Linked DNA regions of Xenopus tropicalis. The protein of the gene in region 1 interacts with the protein of each later gene in a pairwise test. Links are inferred from orthologs where the notes say so. Each region holds a gene or a part of one and is shown on either strand. Other genes may lie near its edges. The genes, in order: copg1 and copz1.

The links.
Region 2: the proteins of copg1 (region 1) and copz1 interact in a two-hybrid assay, tested with the Homo sapiens proteins (2 studies listed by BioGRID). The link is inferred for Xenopus tropicalis from reciprocal best matches to the Homo sapiens genes COPG1 and COPZ1.

The regions. Positions count from the first base shown.
Region 1 is NC_030680.2:135,687,177-135,694,143, forward strand, and holds the start of copg1 (coatomer subunit gamma-1), read right to left. Parts: upstream 4,142-6,967; 5' UTR 4,045-4,141; coding exon 4,008-4,044; intron 1,295-4,007; coding exon 1,242-1,294; intron 790-1,241; coding exon 709-789; intron 1-708. UniProt on the Homo sapiens protein: The coatomer is a cytosolic protein complex that binds to dilysine motifs and reversibly associates with Golgi non-clathrin-coated vesicles, which further mediate biosynthetic protein transport from the ER, via the Golgi up to the trans Golgi network.
Region 2 is NC_030678.2:145,582,329-145,589,360, forward strand, and holds the start of copz1 (coatomer subunit zeta-1), read right to left. Parts: upstream 4,557-7,032; 5' UTR 4,469-4,556; coding exon 4,451-4,468; intron 1,338-4,450; exon of another isoform or gene 682-1,337; coding exon of another isoform or gene 664-681; intron 464-663; coding exon 395-463; intron 1-394. UniProt on the Homo sapiens protein: The coatomer is a cytosolic protein complex that binds to dilysine motifs and reversibly associates with Golgi non-clathrin-coated vesicles, which further mediate biosynthetic protein transport from the ER, via the Golgi up to the trans Golgi network.

The DNA.
Region 1 (6,967 bases):
TTTCAGACTATGGGCTAGGCACCAAATTAGAGCTACATTTGAGTGAGAATGCTACACTGCACGCAAAGAGATGTCAAAGTAGGTGTAGACTTTCATTAATAAGGTTTTAATAGTCTAACCAGAAAATGTATCTCAGTAGTGGTAAACTGACTGTTTTGATTTGACAGTCCCACATAATGCTGTCTGAATCTGCTACAAGATGTATAGGAATTGTACATCCCCTGGGTGCTCAAATCTGTATCAAGGTAAGTGGGGTCCTTGCTACACAACTAACATACACAAATACCACCACCAGAAGGTGATGCTAAATAATAGGTGACCCTATGGTAGTTCAATAGCTCTGCAAATCAGTCATTTAGCCATCAGTAAAAAATAAATAAATACAGGAGGAAGACATACTGGACACTGTTGGTGTAAATGATGAAATAATGATGTAGTAATATGCCATTTGTATAAAAAGACCCTCTTTGGCCTGCTCTAAAGCCAACACTATGGGGCAAATTTACCAAAATGTGAATTGAGAACTAACTCACCCACGTTCTATTCGCTCTTATGGTATTTTTAAAAAATATTTATTGACAGGTGAAAGTTAGAGTTCACTATTTGATAAACATGCTTCTAAAAAATCCCATAGGAATGAACAGAACGTGGGTGAGTTTTTATATATCAAGACTCATGTACACAGAGCAAACTGTATGTTTCACGTACCTGGTTTATTAAATATAGTATCTTCGTCAAGATGTGAGCACATTTTCGAGGGTTAATTGGAGTCTCGTTGAACAGACGAGCCTATAATTCAATGTGAAGGTACAACAGAAAATTCATTACTGAAGGAATTATTTTTCTATATGCTGGATTGCAGACATGATACAACATAAATTCACAGTTGTAGACAAGCTTACACTGCTGCAAAATAAATGACAAATAAGGAGAACTAATGAAGAACTGTGGCCTGTAAGTTAGTAATTATTATAAAATTGAGGAAAATGAAAAAACTAGTTCCAGTATAGGCCACTTCAGCTGCAGAACTACAACTACCAGAAAGTCACTGCTTAATCCCCTGTAAGTGAGATGAGGGGGAGCACTTGTGCAACAGTCAACATGAAAAAGCCCTAAATTGATCTTGAGTCTATTTGGAAATAAAATGCTAGAGGGTACAGAGATGGTCATATGCCAACTTTCACATTTACTGCTGGCAAATTGAGCACCATAAATAAATACACAAAGAGTCAAGGCCTTACCTCCTGGAGCACTGCACTCTTTTCAAGGTTCTGGAAAGGGTTGGAGCTGCCCCCTGGAATAGTTAAAATAAAAACTTTTAAAACTTATGTAAATTAAATGATAACATAGGCACATTATTTAAATAAATGCAAATAATGTATTGCAAATCATGTAGTGATTTCAGGCTTTCTACACTTGGGTTGATTAGTAGGTTGGTTTTAATCCTAGCCCACAGCATGCATTAATAATGAGCAGGTCAGGAAAAGCTCCACCCTGACCCCAAGTCATAAAATACTGCCATTGTAGGACCCGCACCCAACCTGTACCAGTGTCTTTCCACTCCGTACACTACTTCTGAGTGCGCCTCTGGTTTTAAGAGAGGAACACTTCTGAAGCAGAGGAGGCCTGTACTTCCCCAGTCTGACCTGCACACAAAATTAAGTTATGTTTTAAAATCAAACTTGAAATAAATACTAGACACTATAAAAAGAAAAAAGAGCAATAAAACTGCACAGTGTATCTGGTTACAGTGTCAAAGTTAAGTGACTACCACACCACATTTTTTTAGTTGTAGGCTGGAAAGAGAAAAAAAAAACAAAAAACATACAAACACATAGATAATGAAGACCAATTGAAAAGTAAATTATACTAAGTCTACTCAGGGCCACCATGAGAGGTAATCCTATCAGGGGCCCTATGGTAGAAGGGTACCCAACATGAAGATGTGAGTCTAACATGGAGTGGGCAAGGTTTGTTCATACTATCGGTGAGGTTTTGGCATAAAGGGGTGTGGCTGATGCAGATAAGCGGCAATAAGCCCCATTCTATTTGCTGTCATGGCTCACCACCCAGAGGCCTACTTGGCAGTATGCGGCCCATTAATTACTGATGACAATATCAGGGTAGTTTCAGTAAGGTATCCACAGGCGTCATTATAGGACCTAGATCATACAAGTACTGGCTTCCAGGGCTGTGGAGTCGGTAGATAAATTCTCCGACTCCGACTCCTCAGTTTCTGATACTTCCGACTCCGACTGTTTTTAATATGCTAATGTATTTTATACATTCATTGAATGAAAGGAAGGAGACATACATGTCATTTAACCACAGAACTACTGGCTCTGCATTGGGCTTTATTCTTATAGCAGAGAAGTAATTAATTATGACTGTTTGTGAATTGGGACATTTAAACTTGCTTTTTTTTTTTTTATTCCCATTTAAATTTAGTAGGAGTCAGAGTTGGTTCATTTTTTGCCGACTCCAGGTACTCAAAATTGCCGCGGACTCCAGGTACTCAAAATTGCCTCCGACTTCAACTCCACAGCCCTGCTGGCTTCTTTGATGTACAATGGAAGAGACTTTTGTTTATTGGTTAAATAATAATATATCTAGATGCTGATGGGAGATAAAAAGCCTTAAGGAAAACTGCAACATTCTTAAATTTATAATAAAATAGTACAAATGATAAACAGCACATACAAAACTGCGGTGCAGTTGCTGATGGCAACAAACACAGAGCTCTTACATTGATGTACAAACATATGGACGGAATATCACTAAAATAACTTCAGCCTTAAGGTGCCCATACACTATAAGATCCGCTCGCTTGGCGATGTCACCAAGCGAGCGGATCTTCACCCGATATCCCCACCTACGGGTGGGCGATATCGGGTAGCAAGGGACTTGAAAAAAAAATAATCCGATTGTTCAACAATCGGATTACATTTGAGCTTATGGGGCAGTCGGTTCGGGGACCGCATCAACGAGCCGATGCGGTCCCCGATCCGACCGGATTTTCTAACCTGGCCAATCGAGATCTGGCCAATTTCAGGCCAGATATTGGTCGGCCAGGCAGCTCTGTTCTGCCCATACACGGGCCGATTAGCTGCCGAATCGGTCCAAGGGACCGATATCGGCAGCTATAGTCGGCCTGTGTATGGGCACCTTTAAAGAAGGTGCTTAATTACTCAGCCCTGGCAAATACAACATATAATACAGAGCTGAACCATACCTGCTTCTCTCTAAATGGATTAGGCCATGCCATTTTATGTTTACACCCTGCGCCCATTTTGCACGTGTGCATTCGGCATGCAAATTTTCACAAGGCATTTTTCCCACATACAGTTTTATATCTATAACCTATTGGTATCGGGGGGTTAATATGATTCAAAGCATACCCATTAACTAGCATGGGGCTGCATTTGCAAACAGATGCACCTTATGGGCAGCAGTGTAATGGACTGCCAAGAACAGAATAAGGTGGTGGCTCTAAAACACAAGGGCACGGCCAGTATTCCAGCTTTAATTTACATTGTTACTAGCACACTGGGTACAGGCTCCCCAATACTCTGAATTAAATATATAGTAACTCCTACAACATGAAGGAATGCCCTAGAACAGACATATCCAATATGGCCTTTCTTATTAAAACGACCAATCCCAGCAGGCTTTATGGGATTCCTGGTGTAGACCCGATGTATAGGTATTGTGAGAGTTATTAGAGTAACGCTAGGGCCCCGTCCAGCTGTTCTACCAGTGTAGCACACACCTGATGCCTTCCTAGGTCACAGACACGGGCTTGGATTCCACTGAACTGCACAACCCGTCCCTCTTGGGTTCTGCCTTTTGCATGGCTGCCAGTGTATCCCCACACAGAGCCAGGGGCCTGAGTACCATGCACTCCCTGCTGCCGGTGTGGGCCAGTGACAGCGTTCGCCATTTAAACAGACATATAAGGGCAATAAATAAAACGCGACACAATAGTGCAAACCCCCCATATCACTCACCCGACTCCTCATCCTTTTTATCGAACTTCTTCAGCATCTCTGCCCCTCAGTCAGAACCAGGCCACTTCCTGCCAGGCTGTCACCGGGACACGTCACTCCTGACAACGTAACCTACGCATGCGCACTAACAAGCAGTGCGATTGGCGCGGACAGAGCATGCCTAGAACGGTAAATGCTTGTTCAACGCATGCGCACTGTTAGCGGAAGCGACTGAATTGAAACCGGAACTGCTTGTGAATAGCGCACGCAATAAGGGACAAATGTACACCGGAAGTTCGAGGAAAAGTATGAGCCAGGCAAAATAGGTTTTTATTTTTGAGTTTACATCGCCTTAGAAAGTTGCTTGGAAGTCCAAGTAACTTTCTAAAACGATGTAAGCCCAAAAATAAAACTTGGCCTGTTGAAAGGAAATACAGTTCTAAGCAACTTTCTAATATGTATTCAGATTTTTAATGCTTTACAGGTAAATATAAATCACAATATTCGTACAGGGAGGCAGGATTCTTGTGTAATTGTATTATTCATTTTGACGTTTAAATAAAGGCAAATAAAAGCATTTTTATAAGTAGTACCTATGGAATGGATCTCTCCTCTTTTGACATGCACATAGAGTTGCCACTTGTTTATTGTTGACCTGCACAGTTCAGCTTTACTTAGGGCTATTTGGATCTTAACTGTCTGGGATTCAGCCTTGTGAAACCAAAACAATAATCTGGCCACTAACCACCTCTGATGTCAAGGCCTGCCCCCAAAATGTACAAATACACTTCCAAATATCACATCTGCACCCTCTTATGTCACCGCTCTGCCTCTGATGTCATCATCCCAACATTTTGTCTGTTTTTTTGCTGAGGTCAAAGGTGGCAATCCTTAATGCACACTGTGCCCCCTCAATACTGCCCTATTTGCCTTACCTGTTCCAAAATTAGCACCGCAGGTAGGGTGGGGCCCTGGCTGTCACTTTGTGCCACTGCAAGAAGGTGTCCTCCAACCCCACAGTATTGGGTAGGGTGGAGGGAGACGTCCTCCAGGGGTAGAATTAAAAAATGCTATTAGTTCTTCTTTAAGGCTGTGACAGATGGGGAGTTTAGTCGCCTGTGACAAATCTCCCTTGTCGTGGGCAACTAATCTCCCTGAAATGCCATCCCACCGGCTAGAATGTAAATCGCCAGTGGGATGGCATACGCGGCGCCGCGATTCCCCGAAATCGCAGAAGTTTCCTCTCAAGACAACTTCGGCGATTTTGGGAAATTGTGGCACCACATATGCCATTCCACTGGCGATTTACATTCTAGCCGGTGGGATGGTTTTTCGGGGAGATTAGTCGCCCATGACAAGGGAGATTTGTTGTGCAGTGACTAATCTTGCCGTCTGTTACAGCCCTTAAAGTTTTTTTTTTTTGCAAGGTTAATGATTCAGGGTAGAATTGGAGAGATCTTTGTCCAAATGGATGGAATGTTTTCAAAATGCTAGAGGTTGTCAGGTATCAAAACAAGTCTTTTGGGCCATAGGAAAACCCAGGCCCTACTGGACCTTCCTCCCCCCATTCAATGAGTTTGTGGTGCTCATGGGGCTTTCTGCTCTGGATACAGAAACAAGGAAATCAAACAGAAGCATACAGATATGTTAAAATGCATTAAGGATGGAGGGGGGGGGGGCAGGGAATAAAGCTACTGGTTGGAATGTGTCTCATTCTTATTTTACACGTCACATAGCACCACATCCAGTTAATCATCTGAAGAATCAACCACACAATTAATGCTATATACATATAGAAATCAATAGGATGAAGTATGAGATTACCATTTCCAAAGCCATGCGAATGCTGGCTGGACCATATGATTGATATGAAATTAAAGTGGCAGAAGAATGCCAAACAAGGTTATTGCAATTGTCACTGTTTTATTTAAGGATAAATTCTCAAACATATTTAAAAGGTTAATTTCAATATAAAGAAACAAATAAATTCCTTTCATTAGCAGCTCCAATATATATTCTTAGAAACTGGTAAGAATTAAACAATTGTTAATAACAAATTGGGAAACGTATAACATGTGTGGATTCAGTTCTTTACTCAGATTTCTTTAAGTATACCAGCTGCCAAAAGGGAATGATTATAAAACAATATAACACAAACACATTATTTAGAAAAATACAAATGAAAGGATACATACTATGGTGGTAATCATCCAGAAACATGTTAATATCCAACAACTCCAGGGGGCCGCTGCATGTGGTATTCCTTGGTGATCCTTTTGTGCAGTGTTGTACACAGACATGCCTGTACTTTGAACAGTGTCAGGAACTCACCTGTTATCTGAAAGTCTGACTCAAGACTCTTACAATCTTAAAATCAGAAAATATAGGATTTGGCTGCCAAATAGCTTTAACCCTTAAGGTGCTGTGGTTTTTGGCCATTAATCTAAAGGCAGCTGTAGTAGAAACTATAGAGAAACTCCAGCTTCTGAACCAAAATTTGTTGAAGACCCCAAAGATTACAGAAACCCATAACATACCTATCACTGTAATCTACTCCTTCAATAAGTATGAATAAATACCATTTTATATGCTGAAATCTAGCTGCAAACAGTTCTTCTCTTTCTGCATCATTTGAAATCCTGGCAGGGGAAGAGGGACTAAAACAGTGATGTTACAAATTGTAACAAATTCTCCACAGTTTACAGCATGCAGGAACTACATAACCCACAATGCACTGCACTATGTTCCTTTGCTAATTGACATTACGGGAGCAGGGAATTGTGGGATTTGGAGGATGCAGGGTTGAGGACAGTCGACTACTGTTACATTTTATTTGAGTCCCAAAGTAGTCAGCCAGATCAACAGGGGGCGGGGCTTAGGGAACTGTTCCAAACCATATTATTACAGTAAAAATCATGAAAAGGCTGCATATTTTTCAATTGTTGTATATTGCAGAGTTGTTTGAAATTATGTTTACTTTT
Region 2 (7,032 bases), on another chromosome or scaffold:
CTACAAAAGGAGTCAATGGATTGGCACTGTATTAACTTGCAAGACCAATGCCTATTGCTGCCCTAAATGAAATAAATGAGTGCATGAAGCTTTGACACACTAGTATCACAATAGCAGCACATCTACATGACTTGTGCTTATATACCACATGTACAGTCTCAAGTTTGAAGTTGCTGTGTGTTTTATACATTCGTTCTGGATCAGCATGTTTGTACATAAAAGAACAAAAGGGAAGCATCTTTGAATCATGCATTTATAATGCTTCTATGCTGCATCTGCTTATAGACACAATGAGAAAATATCAAGTGCAAGGACATACACACTGATGTCTATAGGTGAAACTGGCAGCACTAAGGGCTAGCAGTCACCAATATGCACTTTTATTAAAACCTACCTTAGCAAAGAGCCGCTCCCCATCATTGTCCAAAATTAAAACAGCTTTCACTGTGTACAAGGAAGGATCCTGCCAAGAGAAACACAATAATCACTCTAACCTTGCAACAAAGGAGGAAAGCAATCTGTCGTGCCCAGGAAAATAAAGAGAGAAATGTGTGATGGCTGGGAGGAAATATTTATAGAAGAAGCCAGTTTGTGTGATATGGAAAGACTATTTTTTTAATGTTAAGGACAGTAATAATAAAGTAAATGTCTGCATATACTTACAGCCTTTTCAAGCAACATGGCAACTCCCTTACATACTATATGTATAACTGTGATATCATACAGACACCTACAAAAGAAACTGTGGTGTCACAGAATAAACAGAGGAATATAATACTGGTATGGTTGTTCTCGTGACATGGGTTTCCCATATAAATGCAAAAAACAGAGGCAATACCCTTCATCCACTATATATTATGACCCATCCACTAACACCACTTATTATATTTCCCCAATAAGTAGATCTAGCTAAAGATAAAATCCCCTTCAGGCTGCCAGATTTCTAGTTGACATCAATCTGATATCCTAAGGCACAATGAACGTTCTTCATACCGGGAGGAATGCCTGATTTGTAAATGAATTACTCTGGGCACAGAGCTGATCTTGTACTTGCACACAAGGCTATCCTTGTATAATGCACAGTTTGTGACAAAAGAGAGAAAAGTGGAATGGAAGAGATAAGACCACATTTGACAGAATAACCACAGGAAGGATGTGGGGTATAGTGAGACTTTTTGGACCTTTCATGCTCCACTTGTCAGCCAGTCCATTAGCCTAGAGAGAGCTCACTTTAATGGAGTAGTGAAGCCCTCGAGACAAAGTTCTGTGATGCACTGACTTCCACTTACTCACAGCCGGAGTGTATAACAGAACTTCACCTCAAACGCTGTTCCTCATTCGCATGTAGTTCCACCTCTCTGCCATCCATGTACCAAGATACATGCATTCTATATGCTGCATTGCACTTCTTGTAGCTGATTCAACTGTACAGCATTGCCCTACCAACCCAAGAATGTTTGTGATTCCCAACACATTAATAAGGAATACATTAATACAGGAAATAAATATCAACACCCTCCAACAAAAAACATAAAAAATTATTTAAGTGTTCTAGGACCATATCAAGGGAAAATAGATAACAGAAATCCTTTTGAACTTCCAGTATCCTTATACCCTTAATATCTAGAAGTTTAACTGCACCAGGAGGGGCACAGTTTGACTGTCACTGTGACAAAAGTGCCATAACTGAGAACGGATCAGATCTAAGCAATATTTACAAGGAAAGTTTTCTTTGGCTTAGTAACCCACAGCAATCAATTAGTAATTCACTCTGATTATTCAATTGTAATAAAAGTAACAGAAGGAAAATCCTTGCTGGGGCTTATCCTCCAGGTTAAAATTGACACTGAAAATTCTAAATCCAGGTAGACAATATTTTTTGGGAAAGGCTTGAAATCCAGCAGACCTCTCACATTATACTTAAAGGGGACAAATGGTGTCAAGAAGAAGCATTTTTTCATTGCATTATACACTTCTAAATACATGTATGTACCTTTAAGTTTCCTTTGGTGTTGCTGAAAAAGTTACGTAAATGTAAAAAACTTGCTAGCACCATTCACCGAATTGAGCTGCTGCTTTCCCAGGTTGAGAAGGAGATTATGTGGCACTCAGCACTTGCATTGTAGGATGCCATTCAATCAGCAGCTAGACAGACCTGAGAGGGAACTGCAAATAATGTTCCCTGTGTGAATCAGAGCTGGGGTTGGATACCCACTATCTACTGTTCTTCTGGGGAAACCTGTTAAACTACCTCTCTGTATTAGAAATGCGCATGATGCTTTTAGTTAGATAAATGCAATATATTCCATTTTATATTTCAATAACAAACTATATTTAGCACGTTGTCCCTGCTTTTCAGTCATCTTATAGTTCAACCACCAGACGAGGATGCCCCTTGGGAAACACCGATGACCCTGAATTCAATTAATGGTTTACCACTTACCATAGGAAAGTCATTATTTGCATGTTTGTCCAAACACAAAGGAGCCAATTTACTGTGCTATACCTGGAGTTTGGAAAGCGTTAGCACTTAATGCCTGTTCTGGTTCTACCTTTTATTTGTGGTTGATGGACACGTTCACTTTCCAATTTGTGAGTGGTAACTGATACTGTCAGTATTAAACTATTTGGTTTTTAGTTGTTCTGTTCAGTTTATGCCTAGGGTGCTGACTGAGAATATAATTTATGCTACTGTTCAAAGACAGCAATGTATGATATTCTTGTTAAAGGGAATATATAAAAGGAAGAAACATGGAATAGTAATAAAAACAGAGCATAGATTCAGGCATGTATGAATTCTTTACTGAGTTAGTCCCTATCAAGGTGTCATTGACTCTGCTAGCAGATGTTACCTGTTCTTCTCAATTCCCAAACAACCTCTTTATACAATGATTCTCTTTCAAGAAACTAACATGCCATGTGTCAATATTTGGGGGAACAGTCATTCAAAAGTAGATAAACACAGCAAAGACTAAGTTTAAAGTAGACATATATCATAAATGAAATATATGGTGCTGGTTTCACTCTGGGCTAAAAATAATCATTAGCTTTAAAAATGGCCTTTTTATTAAAGCTTCCTAATGAATTTCTTTCAAGAAACTTACATGCCATGCGTCAATATTTGGGGGAACAGTCACTCAAAAGTAGATAAACACGGCAAACACTAAGTTTAAAGTAGACATATAGCATAAATGAAATATATGGTGCTGGTTTCAGGTTTCACTCTGAGATAAAAATAATCATTAGCTTTACAAAATGGCCTTTTTATTAAAGCTTCCTATGGATCTGCCTGTCCATGTTTCAAGTGGTGGTGGGGGGGGGGGGGGTATGTCCTAATGGTCCCTGCCAGAAGCACAGTAGGAGGGGCATAGCCAATCACACACGCAAATGACGATTTCAGTTCCCTATCAGGTCTGGGAAAGAAGGCAGTGGGAAGTGGAAAAAATGGGTAGGACTAGTAGGGTTTTGGATACATTTTCAATAAATCGGCCAAAAACTTCTCAGCACATTTATTCTAGATTTTGAGGTGCATAATGCACTAGAACTTTCTTGTTTTTACCCAATACAATACCCTTTAATCACAACCTGTAAAGAGAGATTCTATAAAACTATATCTGGGATATGCAATACCCCATGGGAAACAAAATCCTGCAAAAAAAAATTGTTAAGAGTTTAAATGCCTGATACAGATATTGTATTGTGTTAAAACTGTTCTATATTTCTTCTACCATCAGCCATAGCCCAACTGCTGTTGTTAAACTGCAAATAGACTAATAGCAACAATCTGACATGCATAAGCGCCAGGCCTGTCCAGTCTAACCCAAAGAGATTTCAGAATAGCCCAGACACCTTTCTTTTTCCTTAAAAGCCCAATCAATCATCTACTACTACTACTATTACTACTACTACTATTTACTATTACTACTATTACTACTACTACTATTACTACTACTATTTACTATTACTACTACTACTATTTCTACATAAAAATCAGGCAGATTAGGAAGGAAACACACACCCACACAAGGAATATCAGAAGGGGTATAGCACTATAGAGTTTGGCACACTATATTCAGAAAATGTCACTACCAGATATTTTTTATTATTTCTGTGCCAGCAGCCCTTGCCCAGTCCTGCCATTCAATAGGGGGTCCCTGGCACAGGCTCACCATGGCGTAAGGCTCAGGTGCAACATCCCTGAATGACAAAAAGTAACTACTTTGCTGCACGATATCTCCTACAGGTCCCAAAATGAATAGCTACCCTAGCGTTTGAACGTATGCTGGGAGTCACAGCCCAAAGCCTGCCACTGACAGACCCTAACCACTCGTCCCCTGTCCCTACACAGCAGCCTGGCCAGCTAAACAAACGATTGCAACCACCATAGAAAAATAAAGTTTTACCGGCCCCCTCACACTAAAATCAAAGCTATTTCCGCGGCCTCACTCACCAACAGTATAGCATCCATCTTTCTCTATCCTGCTGACGTGGAGCAAAGCGCGCGTTGGCTAATTCATCTGCCAATCAAAACTTTAGCCGCGCCTCCTCGCTCAGTCTGATTGGAACAGGAAGAAGAAGGGTGTGGCTAATAGCGTCTAAAGCTTTTTAATTGGTTGATGGTTTCAGTCACTGACAGGCGGAACACGAATGCGTCTACGTTGGAAGCGGAAGCTGCTTTTATTGGGCAAATGGTTACCATGGCGGAGGAAATAGATGTAAATTACTGTGTCACTAATAGTTTAAAGCTCCACCCTGCTGTTACGCTACAGCTCGGACATTGGAATGAATTGATAGGTCGGTTGACTTTGCGTAAAAACTGTGCTTAGTGCTCTTGGTTCCAATCCAGTGTTCTGCACTATGTTAGCCAGTTGAAAAAGTTGTAGTGTGAAACTTCTGACATGAAGCATAACAAAAGTGGCGTAGATGTGTTGTGGGTATTGGCTGCCTAAGATGATAATCTCAGCAAAGAGTTCCTTCACCAAAGCTGATTACAAAGAAGCAATGTTGGTTCTTATATACAGGATTTTGTACCCAAACAACAAGAGGAAACAAAAAGGAAAACACATAAGCATAATTAGGATGTAAGGAGAGATATGTATGGGGACGTGGGTGATGCAAAGGGGTTAGGGTTTCCACCTTTTCTGGAGAAAACTACTTACTTTACTTTTTTAAAGCAGTAAAAATAATAATGTGCTAATAAGTGAATCTTTTCATTAGGGGTCAGTGCAGTTTAAATGTAAGTTTTCTCAAAGTAACTTGCATAAGCGTAGGGGGCCAATGATGTTGCTGTGGGGCCCAATAACCAGTCATTCCACTGCTGAAAAGTTAATGTAAAGAATACTCATAGAATTCAGTAAATAGATCCCAAATAAAAACAGAGATATTACTCTATAATAAGCAGTTCATATAAATGGTTAAAATGAATAATTAATGTGCTAATAAGTCAGTTCATTGGGGGAGGTAGAATTTACCATTCATTGGTGGTTACTGGAGTTTTCCCTTCTCTGCATTGTCTTTTGCTTGTACGCAAGTTTTTATGCAAGTTACACAAGTTTCTAGGCAGGTTTAAGTTACGTAAATTGATTTAGTTTTGCCATAACTTTATATGTACGTTAGGCAATTTGCGTAACTTTCCCCACATAGCAATGGCAGCCCTGGTTATTCTTATAATATCTCACAGCCCCCTATTTTAACATTAATCATTTTCCAATATTGAATCCCTATTTAGATATTTGAGTTCGAGATTTGGAAACTCTAGTTTATAAACCTTTACTAATATTTCTGTATGTTAGTTTTTTCATTCTAATAACTACCTATTCCTTTTCCCTATTTACTGAAGGCCACACAGGCATTCAATACAATAGATAACGTTATCATTAATACACTTAATTGTTCATTGGCCCATATATGGAGCTCTTGAGTGATCCTGCCTGGTCGATATCAAGCAAGAAAGACAAAAAAGGGGGGGGGGGTGAATCTACATAGTAAACTGTGGATGGCCCCTCTAAAGCTGGTTTCCTAGACATGGAAACTCAGATGTCTATATATAAAATACATACTGCCATAAATAATGTAAAATTAGAGTAATATAAGGGGATGGCCATTTTCCACCCCTTTTATACATATCTTAGTGCTAGGTGCAAGCAGCACTGCCTTCAGACACAGGACCAACTCTACCTTCCATTTCAGAAGTCTGTCACCGGCTGGTACAATTTACAGAGGGACATTATGATATATATATTTTCACATTTTGCACTAGGAATATACCACATGTAAGATTTGCTTTTGAACTTGGTCAATATCCTAACACTTTTTGCAGGTTTTGAATTCTTCCACATTTCTAAGAGTTGGGGTTTGGTTAGACAGAACAATAAAAGCCATAGTGGACTCCAGAAATAATGGTGTAACAATTTTGCCATCCCTTTCCTGAATCATAGCATTAGAGCCACCTATTTTAGTTTTCTTCCTGCTGTCTGTTAATTGCATTGATACATATATATGAATGCTGCTAATATGCCACCCCTTTCTTAGTTGTTCTTCTATGAACAGGTTTCATATGATTATAATCTTTTCTCTAGGCATTGCAAAAATGCTAAATTAAAGGTGATGCCTTACCTATGCAGTCTTTCATAATAGAATCTACCCTAGGTAGGTTGGCTTACCTACAGTACCTTCATTATTATTAAAAAAAACTCAACTTTTTTGGAGGCCCTGTATGAACTGATTATTTATTAGTATGTAGTGTTTGCAGTTTATAGTGAACTGATCAGATCATTTCCTATGCTGATAACAAATGTTGTATTTATTTGTACTATGCATGTTTGGGAAATAACTGTAGGATAGTGCTTCTGTTTCAATTTCTTATTTGATAAAATACAACTTCCTTGCACAGGTTATACAGTGGTGTGAAAAACTATTTGCCCCCTTCCTGATTTCTTATTCTTTTGCATGTTTGTCACACAAAATGTTTCTGATCATCAAACACATTTAACTGTTAGTCAAAGATAACACAAGTAAACACAAAATGCAGTT